2 linked regions of the Drosophila melanogaster genome follow. The protein of the gene in region 2 purifies or fractionates together with the protein of the main gene of each other region. This does not show direct contact. Each region holds a gene or a part of one and is shown on either strand. Other genes may lie near its edges.

Region 1 (11,322 bases), on a different chromosome or scaffold from region 2:
CTATATTAAAACATCAACTAAGCTATATAGAACTATGATTTTGTAGTTATCATAATTTTTTATAGAAAATTTCCCCCTAAATGAAATCAATGCCTAACCCAATTTTACTTTTTAGAAGGCGAATCCAGCAAGGAGAACGTTAATGATAAGGACAAAGAGGCGTCCACGACGAGACAGCAGTCACAGCAGCAGCAGCAACAACAACAACAACAACAACAGAAGGGTCGCAAGGGCAAAGGCAAGCACTAGGACGAAGGTAATGCCACCCAGGCCGATACATTAGTCGTAATTAGACTAAGCAATATTCGAACGGATATGGATGCGGCTGAAATGGGCACATCTATATTTGTTTTTACACTCCACACGAAAGGACAAATTCAAAACATTCAAAGTTTACATAATTTGCTTATGTACGCCCCCAAACAAACAAAACAGAAACGCATGTCAACTTAATGAAACTGTACAATAATTTGCGGCAATGAAGTGTATTTATTTTATCCTAAAAGATTGAATGACGAACAAAGCCCAATAGTAACGGAGGCGATATTTTCAATAACGCAAATAAAAACCTTATGATTCCAAATGAAAGCATAAAAAGTAATTTAAGCTGCGTATAACATAAGCCAACTATTAATATAAAATATAATTACAAATATTGTTAACTAAACTAACAGACCAGAGAATTATTGGGGCAACTGATAAGAAACACAAGCGATAAGAAAGGCTTGAATAACTTTTAAATGTCGCTTAACACTCTGCTGTATGCCAATACAGATTACTTTTGGATTCCTTCGTTTTGTTATCAGTAGCGCCCAGAAAATGTTTAAATCCTGATCAGTTCTGTTAACGTTCTATTCTGTAGAAGCGAAATTTCAGTGCATTATATTATATTTTAAAATGTTATGTTTTTATGTTTAACATTAGGAATGTCGTTTGATTTGAAGTTAATATTTGGATGAATACATTTTTTAAAGGCAGGTAATTTTTGTTTACTCTATAAACAGCCGAAGAGTGTTCCTAAACCATTTTGGTACAGATCCTTATATTGAAAGATAAAAATCGAGCGAAATAATGAAAATGATTCACTTGCTGTCTTATACGACATTATAAATGTATTTTGGATATCCCAATTAGATCGAAACAATTCGAATTGGTTATTTGTTTTTCAATTAGGTTCCTTCTGCTTGGTTTGAAAAATTCAACTTAACAATAATTTCGAATCAGTTTCGTTGAATATGTTTATTAATTAAATGATTCATATCGGAATTCAATCATTTGAATGTATGTATAGTCTGGAAGCTGTTAAAATCTACTAAGAAAATATATTCACGCATTCATATATATGATTAAGATATATATGTATGTTCTTGGGGAATTTAGTCGAGAGTTGGCTTTAAAGTGGGTTGCTTGTATTGTATGCTTAAACTATCTGTTGTCTCTGTCCTTTTTGTGCAACCCGAACATTTTTGTAAGAGACCGTTCGGAATTATTGATAAATGATTACAGTTTTTATCATAGTAGGCCACTTTTGTATACATGAGTTTTAATCTAATCGCTGGATTAGATTTCTCATCAGCCCGTGGACTAAAATTCTTTTTCTGCCTGTCTCAACTTCGTTTTATAATTTGTGTATGAATCTGTTAAAAAACGAAGCAGGGAAACGACGTATCCCTTCAATTTGGTTGTCGTCATTTCAAAACAAGGTAATTAAGTATAAATCATTGCTGTAGACGCAACATATTTTGCAAAAGTTTATCGTGACAACTATTAGGCGAAATGTTCATCTCAAGATCCTTCTTAAATATTTTCTATATTATATGTCAATGTGTACACATTGTTTTCCCTCCGCAGCTAGCTAATTATATATGTACTTTAGGATAATCATACCATTTTCCCCCTCCAACTCCTTTTAATAACACCACGAAAATACAGTTTTATTCAAGGGATGTTATCCTTTTTTAAAAAATTTCTAAGTTTTACTAACCTTGTTTAGGTGGTGTAAATATGTATATGAAGTTATTGTTTTATTTTTGGTAGCAGTAAGTTCAGTAGTGGCACAGCACAATAATCCTTTAGCACACACACACATGCACTTACAAGAAGCACACACACAGCCTCTTATGCACACACACAAGCTCGCAAACAAGAAACTTCTGCTTTTCAAGTGGCATACATAGCTTCTAAGGATTCACATGGCTCTTCTACATAATTTATTCAATTTCGTTCCACTTTGCTTGTATTTTCTTTTTTTTTTTTTGTATATTTCCCTCTAGCATAATTTTAACAAGTTTTCCTTGGCAAAAATACAACAAAATTGGAATTGTCTTCGAAGAGTCGAAACAAGTTGTTGGGAACTGATGATCGTGCAGTTTTTAGAGAAACTAGCACAAACAAATGGAATTCTCTGCATTAACCCAAGTCGTTTATACGACGCTATCCTATTTGTATTCAGTACGAGTATGATGGAATATATCGCGGTTTCGGTTCTAAATCATCCAATGGTAAGTCGGAACTTTCTATATCTGGTTACAGCGCAAAAAGGTATATTGTTTGATATAATTTCTGTTGGAAGACGTTAGCAAACAAAATGGAAACCCAATTTGATGTTGTCACAACTGTTTCCCCGGCGTTATTACAACTAAACTGTGCGTTTCGCGACTGTAAGACAAGTTAGCAGGATTTACGTTTCTTAATTACAATTAAATAACAATATGCACCCTTGTGCAGTGTTGGAAAGAACGTCGGTTTTTATTGTTTAGGGAATTATTAATAAAATACTCTTTTCTAATATCCTTTGCCTTATAAACCCGAAAAGCACAGTTTCCGCTTTATGTACACATTCTGTATAATATGGTAGTTATGTTTATCTTTTGCTTAGTTTCATATTTCATTGTGCAAATTGACATTCCAAGTAAGAATTGTGGAAACTCTTGTGGTTTGATTTTCTTATCTTTCTACACAGTTTTTTTTGGGTTCTTTGTTCTTCCTTTATAGTTTGGCGAAAAAAGTTATTATTATATAAAAGGATTGCGGCTTTTATTCTTAATTTTTGTTTGTTTTGCTAATACTTTTTTCCATTTTTTTTTTCATTTTAATTAATTTAATTAAGCAACAATAACACGGTGATGTTGAAAAATTTAGCTACGATTAATTTAATTAAAAATATGTAAACTTGGGCGAGAGGCTTTTTTTTAATTTCCAGTTTGGGATAAATAATGTGGTTTCAGGAATCATCTGGGATGATCCTGGCGCCACATTCACACGCGCTCTCTAGGCCCTTGCTTTAGGATTCGTTATATAAATAGCTATATATAGATGTATATCAGTATTTGTATAGTTATATATATGTGTATATAGATGCCCCGCACAGTGCGTTATGGCCTTGGCATATTGGCATGCTTTCATATAAAATAAATAATTAACACTTGTCAAATACTTTAGGTTAGGCCGATTCCCCCAAAACCTAAACCACACGCAGCTTGGCGCTGCGGCAGCGTTGGCGAGGATTGCCCAGCGTTTGTGGATGTGAACCAAGCTTCTGCGCATTGTCCTTGACAAGACGACGCGGATTGGCACAGCAGCATTGGATTAGAATACTATAGATTCGGAAAAGTAGTCGGACTATCTGCCGCTTGGCCTGGCGCCGCGGACACCATGCAGCCGCCCAGGATTAGGAGTGCAGGTTGGCTCGATCTTTGGCCCGCCTCTTGGCGAGCATGGAAAGTTCTACGGGTCCCACATTCGCCGCCTGGGGTATGGCAATAGCCCGGAAAGTGGCATCAACAGCGCCTCTTAAGGCCATGGAGATGTGATTCTGCTGCTGCTGCTGGGCGCCCAGCGAAAGTTGGGATCCGGGCGCCACCGCATACTCTGTAAGCTGTACGCCGCCGGCGAATTGCTCCCGCAGCCAGTCGTGCTCAAGTATTCGCGCCGCCGTCGGCCGATTCTCCGGTACTATGTGTAGCATCTGACGCAAAAGTTCTTTGGCCGGCACACTGATCAGTGCCCAGCGACTGCTTGTGAAGTCAATTTGTCCTGATCCGATGCGCTTCAGTATTACGTCCGGTGAATCATTTGGAGTGCTGGCGAAAGGCGTCCGGCCGGATAACATGATGTAAAGCAGCACACCGAGCGACCAGATGTCGCAAGCCAGGTCATAGCCCTGTCTCTTTAGAACCTCGGGAGCCACAAAATTGGCTGTGTAGCATGGCGTCATCAGGAGGCCGTTGTCCGCGCGCAGCTGCTTCGCGAAACCTAAGCGGAAATCGGAAGGTTACTCCTGCTCTACCAACAAGAAATACTCGCACAGAAAAATATATAGCCTTGCAGAAATAAATGCTTTCTGAATTTAAATATTATCAAATGATTTCAATTGCAATAGGATGGAACTTTGGCTAAATAAGATCTTAAAATGAAAAACCTTCTGTTTGGAGAAAAGAAACCTTTAAAATTGCAAATAACAAAGTAACTTAGAAAACAAATAATAGTTAAAGGAATTAAAAATTACGAAAGTTTAGCTTTTAAAGTGAATCATGTTTGTCAGCAATTGGAAAATTTACTGCAAGGCTATAATAAAATATATTTAACTAGTTCCGCTCCGCACTCACCCAAATCGCAGAGCTTTAGGGTCTCGGGAGTTTGCCGCATACTGGCATATATCATATTTGAAGGCTTAAGATCTCGATGGACCACGCCATGTTCATGGAGATATGCTACCGCAGATGCAATTGTCCTTAACACCGCGCTGGCCTCACTCTCGCACATCTGGCCCACGGCAAGTATCCGATCGAGAAGCTCGCCACCCTTAAGCAGCTCCATCACAAGATATGCGGACCCCGCATCCTCGTAAACAGAGTACAGAGTGACGATATTTGGGTGGTTGCCGTACCTCAGCATAATCTCCACCTCCTCCCAACAATCGGCAGAAGTGGATGTGGATGCTGCGGCCACAGCTGCCTTTTCGATTACTTTTACTGCGTAATGTTTCTTGGAGGCTCGATGCTCGCACAACCGACAAACTGAAAAGGTTCCACGTCCCAGTTCTTGCAGTAGATTATATTCCGCATGGAAGTTTCCGGGAAGAACACCAGGTAATGTTCGAGGGGCTCCCACTGGAGCAGCAGGAATAGGAGCTATACTATGCAGAGGACTGGCGCTGGTGGAGCACATATTCGAGCCAGCACACTGACCTTCCAGAAGGACAGGAGCCACAAAGCTGAACCCGCGGAAGATCTCATGGGCAGATGCGGAGATCGGGCCACCCGGAGAATCCCTGGGGGACTTTGAGGTGTACTCCACATCAAAGTAAAAGGCATCGTCACGGCTAACCGCCGGTATGAAAGGCGGACGCACCTGCTTTCGTTCTAATCTCACCCAGTCGATGGTGGCAAAAAAGCAGTGCGCCTTGATGTCCAGAATTCCTTGGGCACCCGCACCCAAACGATTCTGGGGGTTTCTTTTGAAGAGAGCACGTAGCAGGGATTGCGCCTCTGGCGACAAATTCTCCGGCATGCCCAGCTTACTTCTAAGGATCTGATTCATAGTCTCTTGGCGGGTTTGGCCATGAAAGGGTAAATTCCCCGTTAACATTTCGTACATGAGCACCCCGAAACTCCACCAATCAGCGGCAAAATCGTGTCCCTTTCGGTTCACGATCTCCGGCGCCATGTATTCTACGGTTCCACAAAAGCTATATGTTTTTGAGCCATCCAAAGGCTGCTTGGATAGACCAAAGTCCGTCAAGGCTATATGGCCATGCTCGTCCAGTAGAATATTTTCCGGTTTCAGATCCCTGTAGATAATGCCCAATGTGTGTAGGTGATTCATAGCTAGCGCCAGTTCCGCTAAATAGAACTTGACATCTTCTTCCGTAAACATTACTTCTTTGGATAGACGGGTAAACAGATCACCGCCACGAAGAAAATCCAGTATCAAGTAGAGTTTTCCGGGAGTTTGGAAGGCATAGTGAAGACGTACGATGAAAGCATGACCCACGTCCGCTAGTATTTTTCGTTCATTTGTGCTCCTTACGCGATCTTTTACTTTTAGGGTGGCCTTTTTGAGCACCTTCATGGCATAGAGTGTTCCTGCATCTTTGCCTATGATCTTTCGCACTAGAAACACCTTTCCAAAGCTACCTTCGCCCAGAACCCGTAGGAGCTCGAACTGGGAAGGATCGGCCTTGTCGTGACCCTCCTTGATGACTTCCTTAAGCTCGAATTCGTTTTCTGTTTCATATAGGGGCTCGGTGTCTTCTAAATCAGGTGCACTTCGCCCAGTAGCCCCTTCTCTCCTACCGCCAGTTTCCACGCCTCCCTGGGACTCGGAATCACTCAGCTCCATAAGTTCTGGCGGCGGGCACAAGGTTCGATGCGTCGGCCTTTTCCTAGCGGAATCCAAGTCTGCTGTTGGTGAGATGTGATGCTGCTCGAGGGCCGCTTGCAGAGCAGATTGCTGTTGCACCTGTTGCAGCTGCTGGCGGCGTTGCGATGATGTCACAGTGGTCACCGAGGAAGTGACACCGCTGTTGCCTCCGCCACTCTCATCGTCCTCGGTGGGCGTGTGCTCCATGGGCGTGACCGCCAGGCTGCTGCAGCCGGACGAGGTAATTTGCATGCGCTGGCGCAGCTGCAGACCCAATCCGCTGCTGCTGCATTGCTGCTCCGCATTGTTGCTGCTGCTGGTGGAGGACACATGCTGCTGCTGCTGCTGCTGCTGAGGCTGCTGGCGGAGATCCTTTTGCGAATCGGCCAGCGGCATGACTTCGGTGGCTGCTAGCGTTGTGAGGCAACTGCTCCTAGCGGTTCCTTTGTTTCCAGATCCTGATGCACAATGCTAGAGCCCGAGTTCCCCCTGCGTTTCCAACTCCTCCTGCTGCTCCTCCTCCACCGAACTCTCCCTACTTCCGATTTCACTTTTCTTTTTTATTACTTCCGCTGCGTGGGCGTCGCAGTCGACTGCGCTGTTGCCTCTCCGGATTTCTCTGGTTTCCCTGCTGCTCCTACGGCCAACAAGCAGCGCTTTCCTAATGCGCCCACGTTTCGTACGCCGTCTGCTTTACTATCCGCTTCGCAATCCGCACAGCTGTGTTGCTTCTTATCACTATTATTTACACATTCACAATAAAGTTTTTTTAGAGCTGCAAAAAAATCGATGTTACCATCGATTACATCGATAGTTTCAGTTTTCCGAAAACATCGATTTACTTTTTGCAGCCGATGTTTTTACTGTGCGTATTCAGCAAATTTTTGTTTACACTTTTAATACATTCTTTCGGTTTTAAAAGTCTATATAACTCAATTAAAAAAAAAAAAACATATAAATATAGTTTTATTTGAGAATGATTTGGCCCGTGTGACCGTGTCTAGCAATATACCAAACGCGAAAAATACCAATTCATTACGAAAACGTCGTCACGAAACAAGTTATCTTGTGTAAACCGTCTAAAAACCGTTATTATAAATTTCTATATCCCTTTTATATTGATTTCCGGAAACTTTGCTAAATAAATACAACGGTTTTGCAGACTTACTTACTTATATTAGCCGCAACATTCCAAATTCAATTGGTAAAAAACTAATGGATATCGTACAAGCGCTTTTAAAAACAATAAAAAAAAAAACATTGTGCTTATAGATTCAGTATTATTATTGCTTCAAAAGTGGACAACAACCACTTTTCATATATAAAAGTAGGAGTAGTAGGAGTAGCTTACTTACTTAGTGCAAATCTGAAGGGCGCAACGATAGACGGATACAATACTGACCACAAAATGAAGAAACAGGGCAAAAATTAGGCCGCAGGCAGCGGAAACCTCGCTGTTGGTATCGATCAAGTCGAACTAGAATGGATGAAACCATTAAAAAAACATGCCTCAATGCGAAGAGCCCGGCTTTACCTGTTCACCCTTTTGCTCCGCCATCCTGTTGAGGTCCCTTGACAATCCCACGCCGGAAATAGCCAGAGCCAGGGTGCTGCTGGCGATGCAGACCAAACTGAGGGCCAAAAACGCTGTCTGGGTTTTGCGCATGCTCACCACTCCAAGGGAGCCCGTAACGGCTGCTATCAATCCCGTCCAGATGCCGCATCCCGCCAGTGAGAGCGCTGCCTCTCGGACGATCAGAAGTGATCCCAGGGCCACCAGCGATATGGCCAGGAGCAACTGGAGAGTGCCCAACACTATTTGCAGTGGAAATGCCGAGCAGCATTCATTGCTCGCCTTGCGCTTGCGCCGATCTTTCGAGGAAAGCGATGAGCCACTGCCTCCACCCTCGCTGCCCTCCTTGTACTTAATAAATTCCGGTGGACAGCGCTGTTTACGACTGATCCTGGAGTCCAAAGTGGTGGCCCCACTCTTAGTGCCATTCACCTGCACAGAAGAAAAAATGTGTTTGGTACAATATTCGATTGTCTGAGGATTAATGAGAGCAAGGCAGTACAGAAATGGACAATTAAAGATTCTCTAGCCCTATTAGGTGATTCAACTGATACAAATTGATTAATTTTGGTTGACTTTTTGTAGGACCTACCTGGTTTGGTTGCCGCGAAGCAATAGCTTCCTGCAGCTGTTGTTTGAACTCTTGGTGCGAAATAAGATTGGGCTTATTATCGTCATCATTGTTTGCCTGGGATTTTTGGGCATCCAAGTCTAGGGCGGCGGATAGGAGTTTCACCGCCGGCGGCTTCTCATCGTAGACAGGACTCGAATAGATGTGACTTTGGGCATCCTGGCGCGCCTGCTCCTGGTCCTCCTGCTGTTTTCGATTCTCATCCCGTTGAAGCATGCCGATTTGCGAGTTGGTCAGACTACCGCCCGATCCCGCCAAGTTCGTGGTATTCGTGCTATGTTCGATGGTGGTCACCACCTGATGGAGTTCCTCAGGATTCAGGCTGCGATCCACAATGGTATCCATGCTGCCGGTGGTGGAATCATGCGAATCAATGGTGCGGGCCGGCGATGCCGAGTGGCGGCCATTGAAATCTTCGCCGCCAGGCTGCTGATTACTGGTCTCTGTCATTTCTGCTGATTGGCTGAGATGATTGGGTTATGATGATCGGTGATGTCACTGATTCATTGACAAGCTGCAGGCAAATGAGGAGAACAGTTAAATATTAAAAATAACGTGAAGATTATGGCTTTGGTATCGTTTGGTATCTTCATATTCGAAAGTAATAGTAATAAAGCTTATTTTCATAGTCTCTCAAATAGACACTATTCCAGCTTTTATAACCCTTTAATTTTTATTGCGTTTTTTACATTCTGTCGAGTGTAGCAAGTTGAATACTCGCCATGGCCTATGGATTGGCGGCTCGACAGCGAACACCCCGCAGAATAGCAGGTTCGTTGCCAGAGTCTTTTGTTTGGCGCGCACACTTTCGGAAGGCTTGCTTGCTTATCGCTTGCTTATCCACCGATCGATTGGCTTTTGCCATTCATCAATTATTTGATCTGATCAATCATTCGCACTTTGGACGCATAATTTCTGCAATAATCGCCTGTTCTCCGTCAACATTAATCCACTTATGGAGCCTGCTCAGAATCCGATCCGGTCCACACTTATCATGTGTCAACCGGCTGACAATGCCAGTATTCTGCCTTGGAACACCTTGACATTTGCCTGCGCTCGTCGGTTGTCATTTTGCTTGGCTTCTGCGAACCGGTTATCATTTTGTTGGCAATTAAACAAAGCCAAAACTGAAACTGAAACCGAACGCAAACTGAAATCGAAAGCCGAAACAAAATGTAAATAAAGTGGAAACAGACGTAAAAGGCACAAACAGTACATTCCTTAAGTAATAAAAACTATACCACTTTTTTTTAAGCATTTCCCCTTAAAAAAAAAGTATGTCTATATTGTTCTTTAGCTATAATATAATACAATATCGTGGAGATTTGAATAACTAAAACCTTTAAATAACTTTACTTTAATATGTTTTATCTTTAAATATGAATTTGAATTAATTATGGTACACTATTTGTTTTCATGTTGGTGTTTTCTAAATAAATTTTGATTTAAGGGCTTGAATTATTATACAAATAAAATGTATGAGTTAAATATAGGTAATCCGTTCAAGTTCCATTTTCAAATCGCTAAGAACATTCTCCGTCCATTCCAAGCAGCCATTAAGCGTGGCATTGTTTTGTTGCGGGGGCATGGGTCGCATTGTTTTGGCGGTGCCATGCGGCGTTTGGAGGCAAACCACTTAAATGGCATCCGATATGGCAAATTGTTTGGTGCAACTGGCAAATCGATTGCTTACTAGGGGAGTGGAGCAAGTACAGCCCTCAAAATAGTCATCGGTAATTTTACGAAAATTCCCAGAGATAAAGAGAGTAAAGTAAAATACATTTTTAAATTAAACATAAATGCTTTCTCTTAGCGTCTAAATAAATTACATAGATATCGCGCTTAGTACGCCCCTAAAATCAAAAATGATTCAGTTCGAACATTTGAAATATAATTATATTTAAATGCTGTGTACTAAATAAAAGACACGCTGGAGCCAGAACTGAATTCTTATTGATTCCACCTTCGCTTTAACAGGCTTAAGGCAAATACAAAACATACCGGAGTGCAATGAAAAAGCACAAAGATGTGCTGTTATGCCAGTAAAGTTGATATTTATTTGGTATTTCTCTGTTTGCTATTGACATTTTGCCACTTTCAGTGAGTAAGCAGACTTTTTCCCCCGTTTTTCACCGATTTTCCCTCCCTGGCACCGTCGACGACAAAGCTTTCCACTGTCCCAAGTCCGGCTGGTCATTTGTGGCACTTTTCATTTTCACTGTTGTCGCATTGGCAGCAATTAGGCGTAATTGGCCAGACACACACCGCCATACGTGTATGGCTCACACTTCAGTTAGCACTGGAACATTTACCCGACTGCCTTCGATTTGGTTTCGAGTAGCCCGTCATTCCCCTCCTGCCTTTTAATTCGGTGGGCTGTTTTCCATTTTCCAAGCGCAAATACACCAAAAGCCTTTCCCACACTCGCAAGTGCTGCCAACATTTTAAAGCCAATTGTTGCACTGAAAAGGTCGTATTGGGGAACATTTTTTAGTAGAATCAAAACGGGTTGTTCTTCTGTTGATAAAATACAAATGTGGCAAAGTATATTTTGAAAGCATAAAATGGATAAAAATAGCTGGGATGAATAATTAGGAGAAAGTATAGCGAAATACGATCGTAAAAACAAAAAAAATTGTTTACTGCTCTTAATGCTTCAATATTTAGTGGCCAACTTTGTTGCCAAACAGCAGCTGTTGTTGCACTCGAAAATCGCCCAAGCGCTAAACCAAGAAAACCGCGACAGCAACACCAG
Region 2 (7,517 bases):
ATACACCAGGGTCTTTGAAAATCAAACTCAAATTTCATTTATTGAAAGGGGAGCAGCGCTCAAGGAGACTAACTAAGCCATAAAGACAGTTTTATACCAATGTAAAGATGATGCGACGATATATTTTGATATGCTCACGCTAAGTTTTAATGTCAGTAAATTGAAATGCGAAATAAATGCAATGAAATTATTTTTAGGTACAAGACGCGTGGCTGTTTTTCTAGTTATTTCCTAAGATAGCTCAAACTAGAAATTAGTGAGAATTGTAGTAGGAATCGAATAACATGCGCATTAAGTTCATTTCTGCGTTTTATTGATTATAATTATTATTTTGCAAGCTACTAAACGCAATTTTTAAGTTAATTATTGAAAAATTTGTACTATCTTGATTCCCTTGCTACAATGAGAAGAAAAATGATTTTATTTTTAGCCAATGCTGTATTTAACTACCCCAATTGGCCATTTGATATCCTTTTCCGAAATTATAAAACTTTGAAACCATATGCTGATAATGGTTTATTAATTACAATCGTTATAAAACCATGACCAAATTCGTAGGCATTTAATTTAATCATAGATACAAGGAAACTTATTTATTGATCATAAAATAGTCATGAGAATGTACTGGGGGGTTGCTGCGATGTCAGTTTAGACTCTAGTGCTCCATGGGCTGGGCATCTCCTCCGCCGCCCTCCACGCGACGCTTTGCCCCGCCTCCAGCGGCCGGGTCCCTTTCCACCTCCTCGGTGATCTCGCTGAACATGTAGTCATCCTGGTACTCCTTGAGGATCTTGCTCGAGCGATTCTCGTCCAGGAAGAGCGAGTAGACCTTCTTCACATCCTCGGTATTGACTTCGGTGGCCTTGCGGCGACGACAGACCAAGTTGGCTGTGGTAATCAGTTGGATGGCGTAGCGTAAACTGGTATCTGTGGCGATGCGTGTAAGAATGGTCAGGGCATCCGGGTGCATGATGCAGTCCTCCTCCTCGCAGCGAATCTTTAGGATCTCCTTAACCTCCTTCTCGGAATACGGTACAGTGCGTATGATGATCATGCGATCGAGTAGATCAATGGGTATGCCGTGCGGACTGCGATAGTTAGTGCCCCTAATACGAGTGATGCCGCGGTTGGTGGCCATCACCACCACCGGAGCCATGTCCGACTCCAGGGCGCGATTCAGGAAGGAGAAGCACTCAATGTCCAGCATGTGCACCTCGTCTATGAAGAGTACTCCCGGATTTATCTCAGCTTTGCCCTCCTCGCGCCACTCGAGAACCTTGTTGTTGATCTGATCGCGAACCTCCTGCTTGATCTCTCCAGTATCGCCGGAGAACAGGGCCAAGAACCCGTGGGTGCGACTATTGATAACATCGATCTCGTGTAGGGTCACAGTGTGCACCACCTCCTTGCGTTTTTGAAGCTCACCCTCGGGGCATTGGACGAATCTGGTCTGAGCGCCAGTGGCGTCGTAGTCCCTGGCTCTGGTGAAGCTGCGACCCAGCTTGTTGACCTTTCCGGACGCCTTGTCGATGGTGATCACATCGCCAGCCTGGATCTTCTCTTTCATGAAGCACTCGATGATCTTGTTGCCCAGATCGTAGTTGGTTTCCATCTCGGTGGTCTTGAGGGTGACCTTGCCCACCTTCTGTCCGGTACCCGAGGCGGGGCGTTCGATCTGGATCTCCACCACTTCGCCCTCGATGATCTCGGTTTCCTCCTTGATGCGAACGCCAATGCTCTTGCGCAGTGCCTGTGACAGAGCCTCGGTCTTGCTCATCTCCAGCGAGTATATCTCCGATCCGGACATGCTAGTGAATGGGGTCTCGGTGCCCAGAGCCTGCGCCATTCCCACAGCAATGGCCGTTTTGCCGGTACTAGGCTCCCCGGCCAATAGGATACATCTTCCGGCGATCTTGCCCTCGCGAACCATCTGCACCACAACGCCGGCGGCACGGCGCGCGTCCTTCTGGCCCACCATTCCCTGGGATACCAGACGAGCCTCCAGCACATCGTCCAGTCCCAATCCGCGGATATGCGAATGGGCGCCAATGCGCTCGATGCGAGTCACGTCGCGAACCTCGATTTTCTCGGTCTCGGCCATTTTGTGCTTTTGATTCTGTCTACTGTATCACTGGTCGGGAGTTGTACTCTTGTGCGATCTTTTCAGTGGCTTACTAGTTGTTTACTGGGCTTAAATAAGTTGCTAAGCATAAAATTCGTATATGAAATTACCGGCCTGCTTGGAGTAGTGTTGAAAGTTCGATGATTACACAGCACTGTTATGCGCAGCACATGCTGTCAGTGATGGCAGCGTGGGAGAACATTCGCTAGCGGCAGCTAGGTTTTACAAGTACACAAGCCGCTAAATATAATACGATTAAATTAAATGTAAAGGAAACCATTTTCCGAAATATCTGCAAGTGTGCGGTAACTTATTGTTATTTATTGAGTTGCTTCAAGCTTTAGTCGTACTAGCTATTACAAGCTATTTCTGAAAATGTAACAGGGATGTTAACGTGCGCATGCTAACACAGCTGTTCGAAAACGCGTTAGTGTTATTCACATTTTGCCTATCTGCCGACATTAAACCGATCCGATTTATTTATGTACTTTTGAGTTAAAAACAAAGCCAAACGATGTCCTTTCTAGCGCAAACTATGCGTCAAATGCTACGCCACGTGCCCAATCGCAGTTTGTTGACGGCAGGTAAGTGAATATTAAATAGCATCGATGTAAACAATGTGACATAACCAGGTCCCAATGAAATCCCATTCTTTTGTAGGTGCCATGCGTCCACTGAGCATATCGCCGGTAATTGGGCAGCAAAACAAGCCGGCGACGGAATCGGTGGATTTATCGGCCATAGCTAAGGATCAGCAGAAGGAGTGCCTGAGCATCTGCGAGCGCATCAACCGGCAGGTGCAAAAATCCGAGCAGGGACGACTCTTCGCGGTTGTCCACCTGTGCGGCAAGCAATTTAAAGTAACTCCAGGAGATATCATCCTGGTGGAGGGATACTGGCCGCCAACGATAGGCGACGAGATCAGCCTGGATAAGGTGCTCCTGGCCGGTGCCCGCGACTTCACGCTCGTGGGAAGGCCCATTTTGGAGCCCGGACTCATCTTGGTGAAGGCCACCGTCGTGGAGAAGACGCTCAGCCACACGAAGACGCACTTTAGGAAGAAGCGCAGGAAGCAGTACATGCGCATCAACTTCCAGAGATCTCCGCACACCATGGTCCGGATCAATTCAATTGAACTGGCTCGTCCAGTGGACGGGAATGGCGAGGGGGAGTCTTCCTCGAGGCGCTTGTTTTAGTTTAAAATGCTGTTGATCACGAAAAATAAACCAAGTTTTTGGAAGGTAATTAAGAAAACACAAACCACTTTGAACTGGAAGAGGATAACTTTATTCAGATGCTGATTTTGTATATTTTCTAAAACGGTTGAAACTTTTCTAGTGATATTTGTATATTTGCCCTTAATTCATTAATAATAAATGTCATAAAAATTCAATATTCTTAGGACTTTGTTACAATACAGATAATTAAGATAAAACCCATTTTGTAATTGATGAAATGTTATAAAGTTCTTGTTTTATCTAAGTCACCAAAATCAATTGTAAGCATCAGTTTGGTTTTAACTGCAGTCACTGATATCAGTGTTAACAGTACATATAGTTCTATAGTTCAGTATATTTTAAGCTCATATTAACTTTTAAAATATGGCTAGCTACAGTTTCTAAGTTTTGGCAGAATGTTCAGCAAGTTATCTAGCAATTTTAAAAACCAAGCAAATGTTTTACCAATTTTCATTCCTATTTTTGCCTCGTGGAATTTTGCAGATATTGCCCTTCTGCTGTTGCTTTTTGTCTTTCCATTAGAAATTCCACTTTCATCTTGATTCAATGACTCTGCCCGACAGTATTTACCCAAAACGGCAACCTAGTTTGGAATACGAGCTACCCAGCTCCCGACTCTTGCACCGCGACAAAGAAGAGGCGCCTGCTCTAATGAAGCAACCAGTAGAACCACTGCAATTTTAATGACAACCTTTTATCGCTCATGATGTTGTTGCCATCTTTCATTAAAAAAGACGTCGCTGCACCATCCAACCAAACTACCAAACTACCTAGCCAGGTCGGAACCACCCAACCAGGCAGCCCGACCACGATTTATAACCTATGGACATGGCTCACATGGGATGCCTGCTGTTTTCTTTATCAGCAGATGTAAGTTGCTCCCGAGTCGGCGGCTGTCGTATTTGTTTACGCTGCTCTTTCACTTTTCACTAACCAAAGGCGTTTACTTTTTAGCCTTTGCCTGGTAAAGCTGCTTTTGCTTTTCCCTGGCCCCATTTTCTAGTTTGGCCTTTCCGGTTTCAGTTTGGCCGCGGGGGAAATGAAAATTGAAAGAACACGCGAGGTCAAAGAATTCCACTATGATTGGGCCTGCGAGTTAAATTTATTGCAGTTAAACTATTTCTATATATGTCTTTTCTAACTCACATATGTCTGAAAAGACACAGCTACTTTTGGAAAACTTTTTCTAAGTCGTAAGCTAAGCAAAAGGATTTTAAGTCGAAATTATAATATGGTTATTACAAGTGTAACTTTTGACTATATCTGAAAATCTTCCATTTTTTTTTAGTTTACTAGACAGAAATACAAGGATTACAATTGTTTTTGACCTTAAATATTTTAGTCTAACGTAAAACTTAAAACTGTGGCATTTAAACAACCGTATTGAAATAGATTGTTGAATAAAGAAGCGTTTTTTTTATAAAAATAAATTCTTTAACAATAAATTTTTTTGTTGAATCTTGAATATATCTTACTTATAACATTTTCTGTGAATTTATATTAGAGAAACCAACCCATTTCCCCCCACTCCTTTCTCATTGTAGAGGCTTGGTTATAAATTCGAGGAGTTTCCTTCGCCTCATCACTTCTGGCGGCATCCGTGTTGACACCTTCTAAATAAAATCACTTTCGCTCCATATAAAAACGCCATTAAAAATTATGGTTTCCATCCAGGGAAGGCCATACTCCAAGTGGGAACCGACGTAGATGCTTCTAATGGTGCCACATCAAATTTCGCAAATTGCACAAGCAGCACAAATTCAATTGTCGACACTTCGGGCAAGTTTTGCTCAAATATCCATCACAAGAATGTGTATTCCAGCTGCACTTTGCCGGCGACAAATCAAATTTCAATATGGGAGGCGCAAAATAAAAAGAGTTGGCGGAAAATAGAAACACAAATTGAAAGCATTTTGGTGTGATAAAATTTCACCTGACTGCCTGCACTGGTTGCTTGGCCAAGCAGTTTTGGGCACCACGCCCCTTCTACTACTTTTCCCTGATGATTATGTTATTTGCCCAGGAAAATTGCATTTGATGTGCGTTAAGTGACAAAACGGAAATTGCCACCAAGCGGATGCTGGGTTTGTTTGTCTTCTTATGGCGCCCCATGCCCTTGGCCCCCTTCCCCTTTCCGTTTCCACCCACTGTCGCACGTCCATCTAAGCCACCACTTTTTGGCAACCCTTACTCCCTTGTGCCCGCCGTGAAAATCCCATGTAAATGCGGCTCAAGTTGGCCCAAATTTTCCAAATTTATGCGTGGAAGCGTGTGATGTATGGGGCGCAGAAGGCAGAAGACAGAAGAAAGGGGAATGTGGACGCAGGCACTGAAAGAAAAAGTGTGCAAGAATGTAAGCAGTTTCTCAGGCACATAGCTAAGCTGTATTATAATATAAAAAAGTCAAAATCTACCATTGGTGTCTTATTTGAAGTAATTTACTTAAATACTTATCATGCTAAATAATGTATTAAATTACAGCTACATATATTAACTTTAAAATTAATGAAATTAATAGTTTAGTATATAATAACTTCATTTTGATGAGAGATAAGTCATCATATAACTTCAACAAGTGTGTCTGATTTTCTTCGCGTGTAACTAGGACGAAGGATACTGTGTTATGACCACCCATCCATCATCAGCATCACTCAGTTTTGACATATCATTGAAATCTTATGCCAACGTCGTCATCATCTGTGACGTTTCATTAACCCACCTCCGCCCGTGGGGGTGTTGATGGCATAGGATGCGAACGGAGTGGGAGGAATGTGTTAATATCAACAAGCGAAAACTGTGCGAACGCAATCTACCGATTTCCGCTTAACCAAGCCAAACATTGCATTTTTGATTAGACACCGACCGACGAGCCCGAGCCCGCAGGCTGGTCAAATCCGAAGAACGAGGATATAGCCACAGCATTCCAAGGGAATCCAAGGGAATCCACCCGGGGGTGGCTTTTGATGTGGTCCAGGGGGTTGACGCGGGCGGGATCGCAGGCTAAGTGGCGAAGTCAGGGACGACGGGCAATTGATTGTAATCCCACTTTTATTGGCGCTCAGCAATCACCTCTGTTCGTCATATTTGTTACTCTTTTTATTTGAAGTGCAGAAATGTTGATACTAGTTATGAAGCACAAAAAATAAAATAATTGGTACATTTATTAGGCGTCTGTTCATAGATGAAATCATTTTTTCTAACATTTTCTATCAACGTTTTATACCAAAGATGTGTTAGTGTAAGCATATGAATATGTAGTTTTAAATTTATTTAATCATTTACATTTTATTTCCAGTAAAATGTAAAGTTCAGATTTCTTTATTTAAACCCGCTATTATAAAGAAATTTGTTAAGAGCTCAGTGAACCCATCAGATGCAAGCACTTTATGTAAAATATTGGGTTTCTGCATAGAACATACCATTTATTTTCCCTACGCCTTTCATATTCGTATCCATCAATTTGTTTTCCCAAAACTTTGGCTTCCACAATCGGAATATTATTTTCACATTATATCGATCCCAACAACCCAACCCTTGTCTCCATCAATTTGGCCAAAGCATATTACATTCGAATTATAAACTCACATATCATTCTTCGATGAGGGGATGACGATGCTTTCTGTCACCTAACGCATAACTTGAAAAGTTTCTCTTGAAAATTATGCAAAAATGTTGAAAATGCTGGATCTGCTCCTTGGGGATATTTTTCAGTTCACTGAATTGTTGTTTGCGCTGCCAGAAAAAGAGATTTTCAGCGGAAAGGGTTGTCAAGGCTTTCTTTTCGTGCTATTTCGTGTGTTCCGCCTCTTCGATAACCTGATGGTGATATGACAATCTACTCGAATCCACTCCCCACTCCCCGCACGTGTCACAATTCGAATTTAAATAAGTTCGATGAGCAGCAAAGTTCGCAAACAGTTCGTGGATGGCTTCTGCCACTATGCCGCTTAATGATGAAATTTCAATAAATGTCATTTGGTCTCGGCAAAGTGTCAACATGGCACATGGCACCTACCTTCCTACCGCCTCCATTTCATCCTCCCCATCCTTTTTCAAGGGGTGCAACAGCTGTCAGCGCCGCGCTCAATGCGTTAATAATGACAGTTTTCCCAATATTTCTCCTTTTATTTTTGTTAGTCTAACTGGCCGGGAAATCG

The links.
Region 1: the proteins of rept (region 2) and S6kII purify together in Drosophila melanogaster (affinity purification with western blotting, with the first as the bait; one study listed by BioGRID). This does not show direct contact.

Annotation. Positions count from the first base shown.
Region 1 is NC_004354.4:22,525,788-22,537,109, reverse strand, and holds S6kII (ribosomal protein S6 kinase II), read right to left. Parts: upstream 7,147-11,322; 5' UTR 6,760-7,146; coding exon 4,608-6,759; intron 4,255-4,607; coding exon 3,671-4,254; 3' UTR 739-3,670; downstream 1-738. Other genes in the region: CG17598 (uncharacterized protein), read left to right, coding at 116-249; CG17600 (uncharacterized protein), read right to left, coding at 7,719-7,840, 7,898-8,368, 8,529-9,017.
Region 2 is NT_037436.4:19,250,099-19,257,615, reverse strand, and holds rept (reptin), read right to left. Parts: upstream 2,277-7,517; 5' UTR 2,102-2,276; coding exon 656-2,101; 3' UTR 505-655; downstream 1-504. Other genes in the region: mRpL21 (mitochondrial ribosomal protein L21), read left to right, coding at 2,637-2,706, 2,783-3,318. UniProt on the Drosophila melanogaster protein: Acts as a transcriptional coactivator in Wg signaling caused by altered arm signaling. Pont and rept interfere antagonistically with nuclear arm signaling function, and are required to enhance or reduce arm activity, respectively.